3 linked regions of the Drosophila melanogaster genome follow. The protein of the gene in region 2 purifies or fractionates together with the protein of the main gene of each other region. This does not show direct contact. Each region holds a gene or a part of one and is shown on either strand. Other genes may lie near its edges. The genes, in order: Su(var)2-HP2, vig and Tdrd3.

Region 1 (4,894 bases), on a different chromosome or scaffold from region 2:
ACAGGGCACACATTTGTTTAATACAAAATTTATTTGTTCTTAACACTTTTCGTTGAATGTCTTACAAGTTCTTGAATTGCAACGGCTGCGCGCGGAATTTCTGATGCACATGACCACGATAAATTGTGGAATGAATTCTCAGCCCGCCGGATGAACGAACGGATTGGGGGAAAACGATTAAATTTTGAAAATATGCATTACGTTTAAACAGGTTTTTAACTTAAGCTTAGGTATAATTAATTTCATGTGGAAACACACCAATGCCTCAACAAGCGGAATGGATCTCTTCTTATCTCGCCGCAAAAGAAATGATGACGTCGACATTGTTCACGCTCGTTGAGGTGAAAGTATTTTATTGGCTACGAAATGCATGGCTTAAGAACGATTGTATTTGCCCCAAATGTGCAGCATGAAGACGGAAGCGATGAAGAGCAGCGACATGACCAGCACGGGTACGGGACCACTGCAGCAAAAGTCTCATTAGCACTGGGCCTTTAATATAAATATAGCCGAGTTATTCACTTACACTTTGATACCGGGCGAGTCGTCCGTGTAGAAACGCCACATGCCACCAGTTCCGGCTCCGCCGGGTGCACGGCTCCGGGCCGCTGTGGTGCTGGTGGTGGTCTTGCGCTGCTTCAGGGTGCTGCCGCCTCCGGATCCGGCGCTACGTGGCGCCGACAATTTGCTGGGGGAGCGCGATCCGCTGCCCACGGACGTTGAACTGGCTGGAGCGGGCTGGCAAATGTGTTTTAATTAGTTGCCGCACTCAATTGCCATCTAGTTTAACTCACCATTTTGGGCTATCTGTTCCTCTGGACCGACTGACCTGGAAAATATGAACGGGCGAAGTGGAATCTGAACGTGAATCTGAATCTGACGTGCTCGGCTTCGTGTCGCTTCGTCTTTTTTCGTTCCACGTCACTTTGGTGGTGGCACCGCTGCCGATAGGTCGTGACGCTGAGGTGACAGCTATCGTGCACTTAGACAGCTGGAGATGACAGGCTAAGGCAACTCAACTATCGGCTGCTTTGGCTCTAAAATGAACTAGTAAAAAAAAAACGAAGAAATAATATATTCAAGTTATGAATTTAATAGATAACAATAATAGATAAAATATTAATTCTACAAAATGAATTGTTTAAATCAATTTGAATGAATCCTATTAATATAATTGGCTATTATTAAAACTCCGATAATAAATGCTATTATTCTTGATTTCCCTTGATTTAATTATATAATACATACTTAATAACTATATAATTATATAGAATAAAAACTTAATCACGCATTTAATAGATCATATAGATATAGAATATATAGAAAATCAATGAAATCGATTTTGATAGCGATAATGTGCAACCTTGCATGTAAGTTATTTTTAGATTTTAGCTGGGCAAGCGCAATTTTCTTGGCGCGCACCAAACAATTTGTAAATAATATTTTTGCTTAACTGGTATTGGTTCGACTGCGAATCACTAAAAATTATTAAGTGACTTAAGCACCGTGTTTTAAACATTGTTAATCGGAACGGCCACACCGAAGCGCGGGCTCACTAAACGCTTTTGTCATTTTTGCACATCTGTACAACGTTCACGTTAATTGCAGCGGCATCATCTTTGCTGGATTTCAAAGGAATATTTTGCGGTGAAAAGAACGAAAAAGTGCTTGCATTTGTGCGCTAATGGGTATATGAGGTCCTTCTGCTAAAGGAATGCCAAGTCATACAAACTTTTCGCGATTCGCCTTAATGGAAATAGATAAGACGCGGCGCAGTTGAAAGATTGCAAATTGATCCACCGATCGACCGACGCACATGAAAAGTGAAGTATGGAGGACATTGAATATTTAGACGAGTACAAAGACTTGGTGCTGCCAGGTGCGTGATTTCAGCTTCCAATGCTATAAATACTTCTAATGTGATTTGTCTGTCTACTTTGCGCGCGCACAGGGATTAAATCGAGTGCTCCGACAGCATCTTCTGCCGGCGTTCCGCGGCAGCGGCGCATTTCATCAGACTCGAGCAACTCGTCGTCGATTGATGCGGACATTTTCCAAAAGCTCTTCCATGGCAAGTACCTCGACGACGAACTGCTTAAGGAGGGCTCTGGCTCGAAGTCGCAGGACAGGCGTCGACGCCCCCCATCTCCCTCCTCCAGCGACGAGTCCAACGATGCCTTGGAAGCCCTCTTCTGCGGGAAGAGCAGCCAGTCAAAGCTGAGCAAGAGGCGCGAACGGTATGAGTCGTTCGATTCGGTGGACGACCTAGGTGGGCATTTCGCAATGGTTTCAATGACGCATTTTATCAATAACATTTACTTTATGCCTACACTTAGGAGAAGCCCTAATGCGTCCATCGCACAGGCTGACCGTACCCAAGCCCAGTACCTCTCAGGCAGGTTCCAAAAAGTCACAAGATGCTGCCCCACACAGAAGCATTAGCAATAGCAGCAGCAGCAACATTGCCATGTCATCTGGGCAAACTTATGCATGTCCAAAAAACAAGAAAACCAATTCTGTGGCCAACAAGACAGCAGTATCTGCAAATGGTGATAAATGGGCTTCCGGCAAAAACAAGACCGTTACCATTGTAAAGCCCCAAAAAACAGATCTAAGGCCTTCGCGGCTTGAACCCAAAACAGATCCATTAAGTAAGTTCGATATTGTGCTACATATCTGGCTGTGCATAACCACTTCGTATTTTCCATAGATTTGGGTGACTTATACGGGGACTCTGACAGCGATTCGTCCTATGAGTATGAATCGGACTTTTACGGCGATCAAGACTCCGATGAAGAGGATGAGCCGGTGATCGACATTTCAACGGACACAAGCAGGACCACATCGGTGGCGGGTAAGTCAGCGTTATTAACTAGTTGATACTGCCAACCCTCTGATAATATTCATAATATGTAAACACACATAAACCGTGTAGACACTGTGACACCTGTTGTTTCCGACGACGAGGGCCAGGAGCCGCAGAGTGAGCTGAATCAGCGTCATGCGAATGATCAGGAGTCTTTTTTGAGCAGCACCTACGAACGCCTGCAGTCGTATTTGAGTAATCTCAGTTCCGCCGAGCCGCCGCCAATCTATAAGAAACAGAATAGTGCGAGAAAATCCCGCTCCAACGAAAAGAAACCCTCTTCTTCCCAACAGGTTAAGCATGCTAATGAGCAATCAGCGGGTAAGTGTGCACCAACGTCCATTGGGGCGTCCATTTCTGAGCGCCCTCGTGAACCCTTACCTCTGCTACACCCTTACATTTGTAACTTTTTCTGCTTTTTGTTTCGCAGCCAGTGACAAAGAGGCTAATAAAAAGGAGCGGGATTTGGAGCCACCGGAGGCGAGCAGCAGTGCGAAATCCTCGGCCAGCAAGGCTAGCGGTAGTCGCAAGCTGTATGACGTAGCTAATAATGCTACGCTTGAGGCTGTGGAGCGCATGAGTCTCGACCTGGCCGAGCAAATCATGGAGATCGATGTGGAGCGATCTTACGAGTTCGAAAAGCGGTCTGCCTCAAAGTCGCGTAGCTTATCCAGATCTAAGATTCCAGCAGATTCTAGCACCTCGCAATTGGGTCACGTGCGAAAGCTAACCTATTCGAGCGAAAGACTGGATCAACCGGAACCTTTGGGCACCCAGTTGCGTCGGTCGAAGAGCGAGTCCTTACCAAAGCGAGGTCGCCCTCGTGGCCAAAAGCAGCGTAAGAACCGTGGAGCAACCATGGAGGAAAAAAGTGCTAATTGCCGGGATGGGGAAGGAGAGCCAGTCAAAAGAAAACGCGGAAGGCCTCGCAAAATTATTCCAAAGGAGGAGGCTAAAACAGCAGAGACTGAAAATACAATTGAAAGCTTGAACACAAATGTTCCTCTCTCAATAGATACGAGCAAAGAAAATCCGGAAACGGAGACGGTTAATTTAGAAGTGCCAATAAAACAGGATGAACTAGTTAGCGATTTGGACAATGCCAAGGAGCTCACAGGATCTACCAATTTACCCCAGGATGATATTGAAATGGCGTCAAATCACCAAGAAACGGATCTTAAATGTGCTCCGGACAGGGTTGCGCTGGATAAGTCTGAGTCCACGCCAAAGGTCGAAGAAGAACAGCTTTGTAAAGTGGACACACCTAGTGATACTGCACTGGACGAAAGCAAAGTATCCGAAAGTGCAAAAAATCATATTGAATTGGAAGATAAGGATAAGGATAAGGAGGAAACTCAGAAGGAATCTCCCAATGGCAATTCGAAGGAAACCAATGAAAACTCGGTTATAGTTACTAATGAAGTTGAATTACCAGCTAAAAAGGCTGAAGCCAAGGCAGAAGCGGGAAATATTGTTGAGGAAAGCGACTCCCAACTTGCTGAGGATTTTAAATTGGCTGAAGAGATCTTAGCCGCTGAGGTTGGTAAGGGAGTTGAAGCCAACGAGGTATCAGTGACATCTGTGCAGGGAGAACAAAATCCAGTCATTGAAATTGTTAAAGAGTTAGAGCAAGAAACCATTTCGGAAGTCGTGCCCGCTCAGAATGATCAATCTTCAGTCGAAGACCAAACTTTAGCTGATAAAGAAAATCCAGTGGAAAAACCGTCTCCAGTTAAGGCACCATCCTCTAGTAAGGATGAACCACCTGCAGAAGAAAACTTGCCTGCTCCTGACCAGGATCCAATTGAACAACAGAAAACACCTGTAGCAAAAAATCAACAGCATGACAAAGAACACAATGAAGCTCCCAAAGCCGAATCTTTGTCTGTTTCTGATATTCCGTCTAGCTCAGTCACTCCATCCAAGAAACGAAATCATTCCTCCCCAGCTAATACCCCCAAGAAATCGAAAGAAATTGAAGCTTTGCAAAGTTCGGTGCCGCGAAGAGCGCTTAGGTCTGATAAAGCA
Region 2 (8,205 bases):
TTTTAAAAAGTTTGTTGTCTGTGATATACGTAATTTATAAGTTTTCATTTTGGTAACTTGCTGCTTTCATTCACCATCGTCAGTAACCAAAACTGCAATTTGAGGAACCTACTCCTGCCCAAAACGATCGATTTAAGCCAGAGTGGGAAACTGACGCTCATCGTTGACCTTGGGAGCGGTGTTCTGTTGTCGCTCAAAACGCTTATTCGGCCCTGGACCGCTGTTCTGATTGTTGTTCTGGTTGTTTCCCGGACCGCGACGATCGATGGGTGGCCTTTGATTTTGAGCGGATGAACCGCCGCCCTCGTTATTATGCTGCTGGCCATCCCGTGGGCCACGGTTTCCACCCTCACGATTATCTCGGCCGCCCTCACGATTGCCGCCATCGCGGTTGCCACCCTCGCTGCGTGGTCCGCCTCCAAATCCACCGGGTCTGGGGCCTCCACGGCCACCGCGTCCACCGAAACCGCCAGGTCCGCCACGACGACCATCGTTGAAATTGAACTGAATGTCCAGGACGCGCTGTTGCCTGCCCACACGCTGTGGATAAAGGGCAGGGTCGTACTCGAGCTCCTCTTCGCTGTCGTTCTCCTTCTTCTTGTTGCTAGTTAGGACGACCATTTTCTTCCATTGTGTGGTGTCCTCACCTGCGGGAAATATTGATTGTAGATTAATTTCTAGATGATAGGCCATCATTTAGAGTTAAGCTAAGATCGGTTTGATTTTCAATTTTATACTTCTTTTATACGGATTTTAGCTCAATATGATTTGTAACTTTGGTTGTTGGCTTGGCGAAAAGGTTTCTTAGAATAACGGAAGTTAAACTATCATTCCGTGGTATCGAATTCAAATTATTAACCATAAAAAAATTATGCATTGTTCACGCACCTTCTCCAGCCTTGCGGATATTAAAGGTTGGCTTGATGCGCTGTCCTTGCTGTGCCTTCCACTCGTCCAAGGTCAGCTCTTTGGCTTCCTCCTCGGCGGTAGCCTGCTCGTTTTGTGGTTCAGTGCCAGATTCATCGGCCTTGGCGCCGCCCTCGGCATTGGTCACATTGGTTTCGCTTTCGTTCTTGTTCACATCATCAATAGCCTCCTTGACCGATCCCCAGTTGTGGGAGCCAGCTCCATCGCGTTTGTCAATTGACTTCACACCTGTGCATAAAGAAAGTATCAAATATTAATAATGATTTATGTCTGCTTAAATTCAGAAACGTCAAGAAGCGGAAAATCTGAGCTTCTATATTTGCAAATTTTAGCCACAGCTATAGTGCAACTTGCCTGCAAGCCCTAAAGTAAGTTTTTCTGCTTAATTTATTAACTGAATACTTTAATTATTAGCCAAATAATGGTCTATTTTATCAATACCCCACTAATTAGGTCAATTGAGAAGTAACCACGATAGGGGGACTATATTCACTGCCCTCGCTCGCATAGTCACAGATAAGCCGACAGTAGCAGCCCCAGTTCACTGTAATCAGATTCAGTGGGGGAACTATTCCAACCCCTGTTTCCCCCCAATGATTATGCCTGCAAAGGCCTCCTACAAGCACTTGCGTTAGACGGGAATGCCGCCAAGAAGATGGGCGAACTATTTTTAACACATTTTCTCTTTCGATTTGTGCCGCAGTGCTTCTTGTTTCTGTTGCTGCCGGCCGCTGTGATATTATAATTTTGGATATTCCAAAAACGAAGCGGTCGGTCTAAGCAGGCAGTGGAAAACGGGGGAAAACGCGGCGAAATAGATTTCATTCAATGGAAAGAAGTGTGATGTAGCTTGTTGAATGTTCTGTCCGACCATTAGTATTGATTTGACTCACTTATCCCCCACGTGAGTGGGAGATTTGCCTGTGTTGTTTGACCATTGCCCATAAGTTCATCGGGATTTTGTGTGCCACAAATTGGTTTACACCGTTCTCCCGCACTTTTCGTGAAATTGCTTGGCATAAACAATATATATTTAAACTGATTTATAATGCAACTGTTTAAATATTACTATCCATTAAATAAGATTGGCAATCTGCTCGGAGCAGGCTAATAAATATTTTATACTTTGAAATACATTAAATTCATGATTTAGATTAGCTATAGAAATCTTAAATCAATTGATGGAAATTTCACATAGTTTATTAAAAGGAATCGCATTTCAAACACCGAACGAATTCCAGTTTCTTTTAAATATTTGTTGTGTACACAGAAGATTGGAATCATGTTGCTTGAAGGCGACTAATAATTTCTCATGACTATAAACATGGTAATTGGTTACGCGTAAACTGTGGATGGAATTTGTTTTTCCTGCGTTGCCTGCTGAGTTTTATTTTCTGGTTGTCATGGAGTGTGGCTTTTGGTTTATTTGTTAATTTTTTCGTATGGGCGCGCTCGTTTTATGGTTATGTCTACCCCTTGGTGGTTCAACTTTAGTTTCGATCTTATCAACAGAAACATTAACTATTCATATGCGAAAAAATGGTCATTAATCTAAACGATTTACTCCCTAAATATCCCATCTTCTCTATCCTTTTTACTAAGTATACTTCTCTGTAAAGACTTTAATGTGATCTACACTGTATCTACTTGACTTGACCCCTAACCCATTTGGTACCTTAATGCCTTAATGAAATGACCACACACTCACCAGTTCTATCGGAACCCGACTGGCGGTCGAACTCGCGCTTCCTGTTCTGGCCATCGTAGTTGCGGTTCTGACGCTGGGGACGATCTCCGCCAGCACCTGGGCCTCCACCTGGTCCGCGGTAAGGTCGCGACTGCTGGCCATCGGGTGCTCCGACGTTTTCGCGGACATTGCGGCGATTGTTGCGCTGCTCACGAGTCTCGGCATTGCCATTCTGTTGACGGAAGTTTACGCTGCGCTGCTGCTGGCCACCTTGTCCTTGACCCTGTCCTTGACCGCTACCAAATTCACGTGTTCGGTTGGCGCCACCTCCTTGCCGTGGAGCACCCTGTTGTTTGTAATTGCTGCTGGCGTTATTATTGAACTGCTGCTGTTTGTTGTCGGCCGATGGAGTGAACTTCTTGCCATCGGTTTTGTTTAACGCATTATTGGGCTTGTTCTCCTTTTCGGCCTGATTTGGTTTCTTGGCATTGGGTCCACCAATATTGGATCCTGCGTTCGCCTTGTTATTGCTGTTGGCCACCTTGTTGGCGGTCGTTTTGGTGGCCGCTGCAGCAGCAGCTGACGGTTGCTTCTTCTTGCCAGCTGCTGCTGCGGCAGCAGCGGCCGTCGGCGCCACAAGATTATCTAATGGATCGCTGACATCGTCGTCCATGAACAAAAGTTCATAACGATTTTTACCGGCGCTGTCCATGATTTTGTGGGTGGGTGTGTTTTTCGTTGCTAGCTGGCTGCCGCTTTAATTGCCTTTTTGCTCTGTAAAAAGAAATAAATACACACAGTTTTAGTGGGAATTGATTGATTTTCCTTTTTCGCCCGCCGCCTCTCACACCCTGTGAGATTCGATAGGATTTCTTTTTCGTGTCACAAACTATGGTCTAATATGGCATATATTCGCTGGATTTATGGTTTACGACATTAACACGTGGACTAACGTGAATTTACTCAATTTATTTAGGCCCTTTGGGTGGATTTTTCTTACTTTTCTGCTGGCTGTTTGGTGGCTGCTGCTCTCTAACCTTAATTTTCAGTGTTTCTTCTTCGCCTCGCTGCTAGTATTACCTACACACACTGCCTCACGCGATTCCACACGCACATGGGCCAAATCACGCACACCACAGTCAGCACGAACAGAGCGCCCACATGTGTTCTTGGTATACATAGAAAAACAGAAACTCACGTTTTTCAACGCGTTTCGCGGCGAATGTCGCAAATCGATTCGAATGGCAGCTGTGTTTAGCGGGCTCTCGATTTGGCGGGCACTTTTTAGTTTGAAGTGCAAGCCAATTTCATTAGTTGGAGAATATGTGAAAAATTGAGCAAATTATATAAATTGGTACAAAATGTTGGAGCATATATTATAAGAATTCATAATTCAATACTTTAGAAATGAACGTATTAAGTTATTGCTTTTATACTTATATAGAATTAATTTTTTTTTCTTTCAGCCAAATTAAAAAAAAAATATCAATATGTCTGACGACTGGGATGATGAGGTTCGTATTGCTTCGTACAAAGAATATATGCTTACTAAGCCTATCTATTTTAGCCCATTGTTGATACTCGCGGCGCCCGCGGTGGAGATTGGAGCGATGATGAGGACACGGCCAAGAGCTTCAGCGGCGAAGCTGAAGGCGATGGTGTTGGAGGGAGCGGTGGTGAAGGCGGCGGCTACCAAGGAGGAAATCGAGATGTGTTCGGAAGGATCGGCGGAGGCAGAGGAGGAGGAGCTGGAGGTTATCGAGGAGGAAATCGAGATGGAGGGGGCTTCCACGGTGGACGTCGCGAGGGAGAAAGGGACTTCCGCGGTGGAGAAGGCGGCTTCCGCGGTGGACAAGGCGGCTCCCGCGGTGGACAAGGCGGCTCCCGCGGGGGACAAGGCGGCTTCCGTGGTGGAGAAGGCGGCTTCCGCGGTCGGCTGTACGAAAACGAGGATGGTGAGTAAACCTTTTGGACGACATGTTAAATTTTGGGTTATGGTCATTTGAGTCATTCCTGCTGAATTCCATGTGGTGTGCTTTGTTTTGTCAAGTAGTTTGTTTTCTTTTGTTTTGTGTATGCATATTTGCCCAATTGGTGGCAAATTGGCCAACATTCTAGCTAAGGAACTGCCGCCGATCCCATCTAGCTGCGATAAGGATGAGGTGGGCGCATTCATCGATCAGCTGGACTTGAGCAAGTACACGACCAGCCTAGCACTGATTCGAAAATTGCGTGACTACTTGCTGACTGCATTTAAGGCTTTGGTGAACCAAGCATGGGCTTCTCTCGAGAAATTAGCTCAAGAAAAGCGTGCACAAAAGGCACATCAGATACGCGAAACAACAGATATGATGAATCGCCTTATGGAGGACATGGGCCGATTGATTCGTGAAGGTGAACATGAGGAAGCAAATGGGATTGGGATGGGATTTCAAAGCATTGATGCGGATTGCAGAGCTGATTTGTCGCAATGGAGGAATTTACAGCAAGTTGTGATGCCGCAATCTTCGGAGATCAGAGATGGACAAACAAACAGGACAAGCGGTACTGAGGGCGGTCGATCAGGAGGTTTAACCGATGGCGATGACTTAACCGAAATACAAAGCGCCGCATACGCCGTGTATCATCAGGTTTTGGATCGAGGTTACCAAACGGGTCGACGGCTGTATGATGATAATCAAGGAGCATTGAGAGAAGATTCTATTCCAACAGAAGACCGAGAACACCCAGAAAATAATCAAGTGGATGGATCAACATATGGAGTGACTAGATTTCTGCACTGGCTAAGTGAGAACTTTGTCACTCGGCATGAAATAAGGGCCGTACGTTTTGGCAGTCCGCATATGGTTTTTCAATCTTATGACTGGCCAGAGTCTCCAAAGCAGCACATTTCGACGGTCCATCAAAAAGGCATATTTTATTCTCAGCCCTTAATTAGGACACGCATAATAGCCACTGTTGCGAGCGAGCCAAACAATTCGAGTAGTGGTCAGCTCAGCAGTATGGTAAACTTGGCACGACATCAGCGGTCGCAAAATCAGGAAACGCCAGATGGAATTTACGTTAGTCGCTACAATGCAACTGGAGATGAGGAGACTCCCTGCTCCGCAACCGGAGTCCCCGGCAGAGTTGTGGCTCTGCGTGCTTCGAGCACCCCAAATGAACATAGGAGCGATCCAGGGTACTTAAACCAACTCTAACTAGTCTAGTCTAGCGCTTTTCTTTCTTACCATCTATGGATACTTTTTATTCCCTTTTTCCAATGAGCGGTTGTGTAGAAAAGAGCAGATTTCAAACATTTAAAGATTACATAAAAGAAAAAAAAAAACACCAAATTTAGCCAGACACCGAAACAATTTATAGGAAATTTGATTAGAGAAGTACCTTAATGCAGTATAAATTCAGCTTACTTTTCTATATGTACATATTTTCCATCTCTTCGCTTACTTTCGTTTCCTTCTCTATAACTTAAATGAACACATAAGCTAAGTAATGTCCGTTTCACAGCTTGTCTTTTATACCCAATTTGACTTACGAAGATGGGACCATACCATCATTGGCAGCAGGCGGCGCTGCATCGACACCGTTGGCTCCATCACTGCCAGCAGAGCATTCATTGGGGTTAGAAATGGATAGCAACACTTTGGTGGTACCAGCTGATGCGGATGAAACCCGCTTAGTCGGACATCCAGGATCAACAGTGGTTCGTTCTCGGCTTGGAGGCCCTCCAGCATCAACACCTTTACTATCATTCCGACCTAGACTGCCGGTCATTGACGAAGAGCATCATCTACGCTTTACCAGGGTGTCACGCGAGCTGCAAATGAGTGTTGCTTTCCCGCCGGAAGAGACAACACTAAGCGAGCAACGTGAGTGGGGCTCGATTTTCCGACCACGTGATGAAATGGTTAACTATGCCGAAGGTCCACCTCCTCGCCAAACACAAAGGGCGCGTCGTCGCTCGCGTACACGCAGACGACGTAATCGTATCGCTTCAGCTGCCAGCCCGCAACTAACACCGGAACGAATTGTCCGTCGCGAGGAAGCCTTCCAAAGCAGCCGACATATTGCAGCCACTTTTATGTCCAGCTTGCTACAAAATGCAGCTGGAGAAGTGACGACGTCTTCAGGTCTGGCAGTAACCCGTTCAGTGAAAGAAATAACGACATCAGTCCATATCACCCGAAATGTACTACAAGAGGAGGTACCACCGACCACAGAAGCAACGACGACCTCCCTAGAAGTTGCACAGGCAACAGGGTATTCGGATTCTGGGGCTTGTATGCAATCTGCAGCGTTCTCTCAAGATCTTCCTGTAGTAGCTCCCTTGGAGATATCTGGAAATGCATCAAGTGACCAAGCATCATTTGATCAAGCTTTGGCCTTACTGCCTCCCATAAATTCCACTCCAATAGGTCAGCATCCAATTGCTGTTTTCGGACCTAAAACCGAAATTGAAATTAAACCCCAAAAAATGGACATCTCTAATATGATGAATACATCGGTTCCACCAATGCCAATGGAAGTCGACGAAGTTCCACTGGAGGTATCAAACACTTTGGCCAATATGAGCGATCACGCTTATGTGACTGATATACAGATACTACCGTCGTTGCAACTCAATTCTTTGAATCTTGTTAGCACCAATATTACAGACAATGCAGTAAATATCGCCCCATCGACATCAACAAATGATTTGCAAACGCCAAGTGACCGCAGAACATCAATGCAAAATCAACTATATCGAGTGTCCATGAACGATTTGGCATATATTTCACAACACGCTAATGTGGTTCGTCTGATGGTAGATCGTCAAGAGGAACTAGGGGCACAGGTCAGCTCCCTGGGGCCTTTTAAGGAAAATAGCCAAGGCGCGCTAAATTTTAGTACAATGCCCGCTGTCAAAGTCTACGATCCACGTATAATTCAGAACATTCAGAAGGATAAGATGAGAGTAGTTCATGGGCTCTTCGGTGCTCTTATCAGACAGTCCCAGGTTGATATGCACAATGCACCATTCATCCGAAATCGCAAGGATGCGTTGATGGCATATCGCTTTTTACTCGAGCTTAAGACTGCAAATATTATAAGTCTTAGCTCGGATGGTAGATTTTTCGGGCTGCTCTAATCAAATAAAAAGCATTTTAATTTTAAAAATACAAAAAAAATTTAATATTAGTTTGCTTAAATAATTTAATAAAGTTGAACGTGGTATTAGAATCATCGCCATTTCTTATTATTCGTTGACATTAAATTGTTATATTGTCCGTGATTAGCTAATAAATTGGTACAGAAACAGTATTAAAATAAAATACACAATTTAAAAATGAATTTTAGTTTTGGTTATGAATTTTTATGAACTGTATTTCGTCTGCTTAAATTTAAGTGAATAAAATTGTTATGAAAATCAAATATTTTCTAGGTGATGAACGTCGTGGAAGACTAGATCGGGAGGAACGCGGCGGTGAACGTCGTGGAAGACTAGATCGGGAGGAACGCGGCGGTGAACGTGGTGAAAGAGGGGACGGTGGTTTTGCGAGGCGCCGTCGAAATGAAGATGATATAAATAATAATAATAATATCGTCGAAGA
Region 3 (5,439 bases), on a different chromosome or scaffold from region 2:
TGAATGGTGGGATCAATCATATTTTCCAGTATTTAAGAAGTGACACATGCAACACATTTAATGACGGGCAATAATAATTTAATTTCGTTTATTTTAATGCCATGTTAATTGCTCAATAAAATCGGCACAAAACATTGCACGAATATCGACAACCGTCGCTTTGCAACACCGCATGCGAACTTGACAACACTGGCGCATGTACTACACGATGATTTTGCCATCATATGAAAATATATGCGCACAATACATGCATATGACCGCATTGCACTTTTATCTGATTAGTCAGTTATTTATACGGCTCGTTAATCGTTTTGCATGCTCAGCAAGCAAAATTTACTGCGCTGAACCCTTTCCAGCGCGTTTATGGCAAGTCAGCCAGCCAGCTGTACACTTGCTGGCCAATTTGTGCGTACATTTCGGGCTTTTGCACTCTTTTTGCGTTACCTTTGCACTAAATCCTATTGTTTGTACACTACGGACTAATTCTATTTTACATGGTTAAGCACAAAACTATGAGAGAAAATGCACATCACGTCGAAAAATGTTAAAAATAAGTTATGTATGTATGAGGGAAAATTCGCGAAATGCACCAGTGCTGAGCAGCGGCGCGAAATAGTGCTGAACATGTCGCGCAGAAATCAGGGACAATCGATAGTACTGCGCCAGGAATTAATCGAATTCGAATAATGTTTACAAAGAAATGTTAATTACTAAATTATTAAATAAAACTTTGCTTAATTCAATTTTTCACGTTATAGGAGATATATTCACTTAATAGGTAAGACGTAATCAACAGTACGCTTTAAATTATATGAAAGTCAGCAGATTACAAAATACGTACTCATAGTTTTAATATTCTGTAAAGTTGTTTATTCGAAACATGTTAATTGATTTAAATACGTTGTTAACAGGCTGTTACCATGTTGTCTCAATGCTCTCGTTTGTGGGGCGGCACGTAGACTTGCTGCTGCTGCGTCTGACGATCTCCGCGGTAGCGTGAATGTTGCTGCTGCTGTAGATGCGGTTGCTGTTGCTGCAGATGCGGTTGCTGCTGCTGCGCTGAGTTGCTCAGTGGCCTGTTTTGGGCATCGGTGATGGGCAGGATGTCGACCTTCAATACCTCCTCATGGTTTCCATAGCCCATAAAGAAGACCACGCAAGTTTTCTCCGACACGCCCGTGATCTCAGCCTCATAATACTGGAAAATAAAGAAGGAATGATAAGTTAAGTTCAATAGATCAATTTGAATACTTTGTCCTACTACAATTACGAATGTACTTTCAGTTTATCGACCTAAACTCACCCTTCCATCGTCCCAATACTTGGCCATGCACAAGTCGCCCTTCTGCCACATCCACGCATCGCCTGGCACCATGCCGAACTGATCCCGTGGCGCAGCCTGTGGCACAGCCACTGGAGCAGGTTGCGCACGGGAAACAGGAGCGGAAACGGGGCCAAAGGACATGGGTGGCGATTCCTGCTGTTCCTCCTCCTGTTGTTTTTCGTTGGGCAGTGTAACACCCTGGCTCTTTAGAAGGTTCATGGCAAACTCGTTGGCCTCCTTGCTCTGGAAACCCATGATCTTGCTGGGATCGTAAGTGTAGCCATTCGCCAATTGACTGTAGTTCGCCTGCGAATTGTGCCTGGGATTGTGATGCTTTTGGTTGGTTTGAGCCTTCTCTGGCTTCTGCGAATGCAACTGTGCTGGCTGCTGCTGCTGCGTTGTTTCTGTGCCCGATCCCGCCAGGCGATTGGCTTGTCCTCCTTGCTTACGTCGATTCTCTCGCTTTGGCGCACTGCTCACCTTGAGATTAGCTGTTTCCTCGGTTATCTTACTCAAACGGGCGTTGAAATCATCGCCAGCACTATTTGTCGATTTCGCTGCAGAACTCGCCGAAGTTAAGCTTGCTGCCGGCTTGTTTCGTCTGTTGCCATTGGCGTTGCCGTTCTCTGCTCGATTGGAGCCTCCACGATTGCTGCCTCGTTCGCTGCCACGTCGGTTGCCAGTGTGGTCCTTCCCATTGGTTGTTTCATGATCTGGCTTAATCTCGGAATTCGGTTTCAACGATACGTTATCCGAGCCATTGCGATTTGCGGTTTTTACGGTTGGCGTTTCTGGTTTGTAACGTCCAGCTGCACGATCATTGAACGCTCCTCGCTCTCGCGGTGGTCTCTCCTCTTTCGGCGGTTTTTCTTCCCTCGGAGGCCTGTCTTCCCTGTAGGCTCGCTCCTCTCTTGGTGGCCTTTCGTCCCTGCCGCCACCCCGGTTACGGCCACCGCCTCGCGACGAACCCACATGTCCACCACGATGTGCGGCAAAGCTGCTCGATACGTTGTTCTCAAACCTAGAACGATCTGCAAACTTGCCGCCTCCGCCCATAGCTGAAGGTTTGCTCTCGGAATCGCTGAAGCGCGAGCTTCCATATTGCTTAAATGGATTGAAGTGATTGGTAGTGGGTGGGGCAGTCGGAGCGGCAGTTGGAGCGGCAGCGAAGGTTTCTGCATTACTAGCGGCCGGTGTTTCCTTGGCGGGCAGTTTATTGGTTAGGAAATCAAACAGCGTGGTGTTGGCAGCCGGCTTGGGTGCTTCAACTTCGTCCTTGGCGCTAGCTCCACGCTTTCCCTCTCTGGGCGGACGATCTCCGCGTCCCGGACGACCCACGGATTCGATCGGACCCACACCGCCAGCTTCACTGCGTCTTTTTAGATTGTATAGGGCGCGCTCCAAGTTGTTTCGGGTAGCAGATAAGGCACTGCGGGCCTCCTCCTCGCTGAAGCCCTTGTCTAGGATCTTCTTAACATTGTGATCGATAATGTTCTGGCCACCGCCGCCAAAGATCTTCTTGCCGCCGGCCTTGGTGGCCACGGCAATGGCCTCTGTGCGCATGGCATTGAACTCTTCGTTCTCCTTTGCCGGCTTGTCCTTGTCGCCCTCGCCCAGGCTCTTAAAGTTCATTTCGCTTTCGGCGTTGCTATCGATTTTTCGGCCAAATGCCACCCACGGGGGTGGCGCTGATGTCCCATTCAAGGGGCGCCCACTGCGCGCATATCTCATCATGGTCCTGGCCAGATCCCATTTCTCGTAGAGTGCATCCACACGGCCGCCGAGCAGCTGAATTTCACTGGACTTTAGCAGCAGGAATCCCTGCATAAGCTGCAGTTTCTCGGCCTTGAAATAGATCTTGCTTCCGGGAGCCACATTGAGATTCAGTTGGGGAACTGGCTCCAGCTCCAAGGCCTTTATGGAATTCTGCCCATCACTCAGATCCAACTGAAGGAGGCGTGGCGCCGCCTTCGATTCCTCATTCGCCTTGGGAGCGGCAATATTTCGCACACGCTGAACCTGCAGCACAATTTTACCGGGCAAAGTGGCATCTTCGCGTTTCGCGGGCAGTGCGCCACCGCCAATATCGCGCAGATCTCGCTGCAAAGTGTGAGTAATAGGTTATAATTAATAATTACACAGAATGCTGAGCAGCCGGTTCGCCTACAACTCACATTCAGTGCATCATTGACTATTTTCCGGACATCCTCGCTGCCGACGGCTGTTGTCACGATTTTAAGGCCCTCCTCTGTCAGGTACCTGCGTAAATCGTTAAGAAGCATTGTATGCCACAATTTAAAATTGTACTTACCACCCGACTTCTCGTAGTTTCTTGCCTAATTCCATTTTTTCATGAAGACGATTTTTTTGCAACTCCGGACTAGGGATGACAAAAGTATTAGATGTGTGTACTCGCTAGTGATGTGCTTGGCGGCAACTATCGGCTGACGGTGCATACTATTATCGTTTAAGTTTAGGTTGTTTAGTAATATTAAATGCTTTCTTAAAATCTAAAAATTTTAATATTTCTTGCACACTTATTCAAATTAAATATAATATATATATTATGTCCCAAGAGATAATGTCAAAATTGGGTGCAACACATATACTAGCATATATATTTTTGATAGATGTACTTATATATCGATAATTAAATTTTATCAGTTATAAAGAATTGGCATTATAAATCGATTTAAAGTCGTAATATCTACATGTTTAGAACAAACAAAAGAGTACCCTATACGCACAGCCACTCTAATGACAGTTCTAGTTTAGGTGGTAAAGCGAATAAAATGCGGTCACACCGCGCCGCAATGAATGTATAAAAGGGGGCTGCCATCCGCAGAGCGAGTAAATAACGGTTCGCGAGCAACAACTTTTCATTTCGAGAGCGGAGTAATTTTTCCAGCCGACCGACAAACAGTGATTGAAAACCCAAACGAGATTTATTTCGAAACGCGACAAGAAATTGTTACATCAAAGGAGCTGCAACGACTAAAATCCGCGAAGAAAGTGCGAGAAAATACCTTAAAGAGAGAAAAAACCAGTGACGCAGTAGCAACAACAACAAACAGTCATCGAACGATTTATAGAATCTAACGCCGAGTCCAAAGCATGAATCTATCATTCGCTGGCTGCGGATTCCTGGGCATCTACCACGTCGGAGTGGCCGTCTGCTTCAAGAAGTATGCACCGCATCTGTTGCTGGAGAAGATCGGAGGCGCTTCGGCCGGTTCCCTGGCCGCCTGCTGTCTCCTCTGCGATTTGCCATTGGGTAAGTCTCTTCCCACTTGCTTACATGGGTGGGTCTAGAGAGGGAAGCTTTCGGAATCATTAAGATCTGCCAACTATATGATAGCGATTCTCCAAGGCGAAACAAAAATAAATTTTTTATTTTGCTTTGCATAAATCTTAATTTGTTAAGTTTCTTGTTTCTTTTCACACTCCGCGTCTGAACTTGGCCTTTGCACAATGTTTTCTGCTTGGGAAAACCCCTGTGAATATTTTCTGCACCCCTCTGGTGTTTTCTCTACTGCTCTCCCCTCTTCGTGCAGAATGCACACACACGAACACACTCACACTTGCGTTCGCAAAACAGCTGAGTGCAAAAGCAACCACACTGGGCAGTTCAGTGACTCTGTGAGTGGGAGTGAGAAAGAGAGCGAGTGGGAGTGGGAGAGCGCGAAAGATGCTGCGAGGCTCAATATAAAACGCATTGAATTGAATTTTATTGATAAGCTTGTTTGCGTTTGTAGGTCGCTAGGAAGTCAATGGGGATCTTTCATAATTGACTGCGATAGTGTGTGTGTGTTTTTGGGCGTGTTTGTCCAATTTCGAAGGGGGCTCGTCCCATCCGCTCAAAAGAAAACTGCGGCGCAGTTGAAAAACCTTACGAAAACAGAAAAACAAGTTTCGTATGCCCGGGACAACGCACTTTTGTAAAGCGGCACCCGAATATATGGGCAAATGGTTGGGCACAGCGGTGGGTATATGAATAGCAACGCAGTCCGAAAACATTTCATCAAATACTTTTGCAAAGAGAATAAACTAAATACTTATGCTATGAGATTAGCCAGAAACTTTATAAATCTAAATTGAAGATAAAATCACTCACA

The links.
Region 1: the proteins of vig (region 2) and Su(var)2-HP2 purify together in Drosophila melanogaster (affinity purification with western blotting, with the first as the bait; one study listed by BioGRID). This does not show direct contact.
Region 3: the proteins of vig (region 2) and Tdrd3 purify together in Drosophila melanogaster (affinity purification with western blotting; one study listed by BioGRID). This does not show direct contact.

Annotation. Positions count from the first base shown.
Region 1 is NT_033778.4:14,614,803-14,619,696, reverse strand, and holds the start of Su(var)2-HP2 (Su(var)2-HP2), read left to right. Parts: upstream 1-1,578; 5' UTR 1,579-1,830; coding exon 1,831-1,879; intron 1,880-1,951; coding exon 1,952-2,269; intron 2,270-2,336; coding exon 2,337-2,651; intron 2,652-2,710; coding exon 2,711-2,854; intron 2,855-2,935; coding exon 2,936-3,187; intron 3,188-3,296; coding exon 3,297-4,894. Other genes in the region: Sec61beta (Sec61 beta subunit), read right to left, coding at 376-463, 527-738, 795-797.
Region 2 is NT_033779.5:15,064,302-15,072,506, forward strand, and holds the start of vig (vasa intronic gene), read right to left. Parts: upstream 6,016-8,205; 5' UTR 5,845-6,015; intron 5,796-5,844; coding exon of another isoform or gene 4,733-5,795; intron 4,570-4,732; coding exon of another isoform or gene 4,182-4,569; intron 4,129-4,181; coding exon of another isoform or gene 4,105-4,128; exon of another isoform or gene 4,081-4,104; intron 3,778-4,080; exon of another isoform or gene 3,615-3,777; intron 3,389-3,614; 5' UTR 3,327-3,388; coding exon 2,636-3,326; intron 1,156-2,635; coding exon 889-1,155; intron 648-888; coding exon 133-647; 3' UTR 1-132. Other genes in the region: solo (sisters on the loose), read left to right, coding at 4,105-4,128, 4,182-4,569, 4,733-5,795, 6,122-7,742; vas (vasa), read left to right, coding at 4,105-4,128, 4,182-4,569, 8,037-8,205.
Region 3 is NT_037436.4:14,785,078-14,790,516, reverse strand, and holds Tdrd3 (tudor domain containing 3), read right to left. Parts: upstream 3,727-5,439; 5' UTR 3,671-3,726; coding exon 3,636-3,670; intron 3,584-3,635; coding exon 3,499-3,583; intron 3,425-3,498; coding exon 1,304-3,424; intron 1,199-1,303; coding exon 929-1,198; 3' UTR 852-928; downstream 1-851. Other genes in the region: bmm (brummer), read left to right, coding at 4,439-4,598.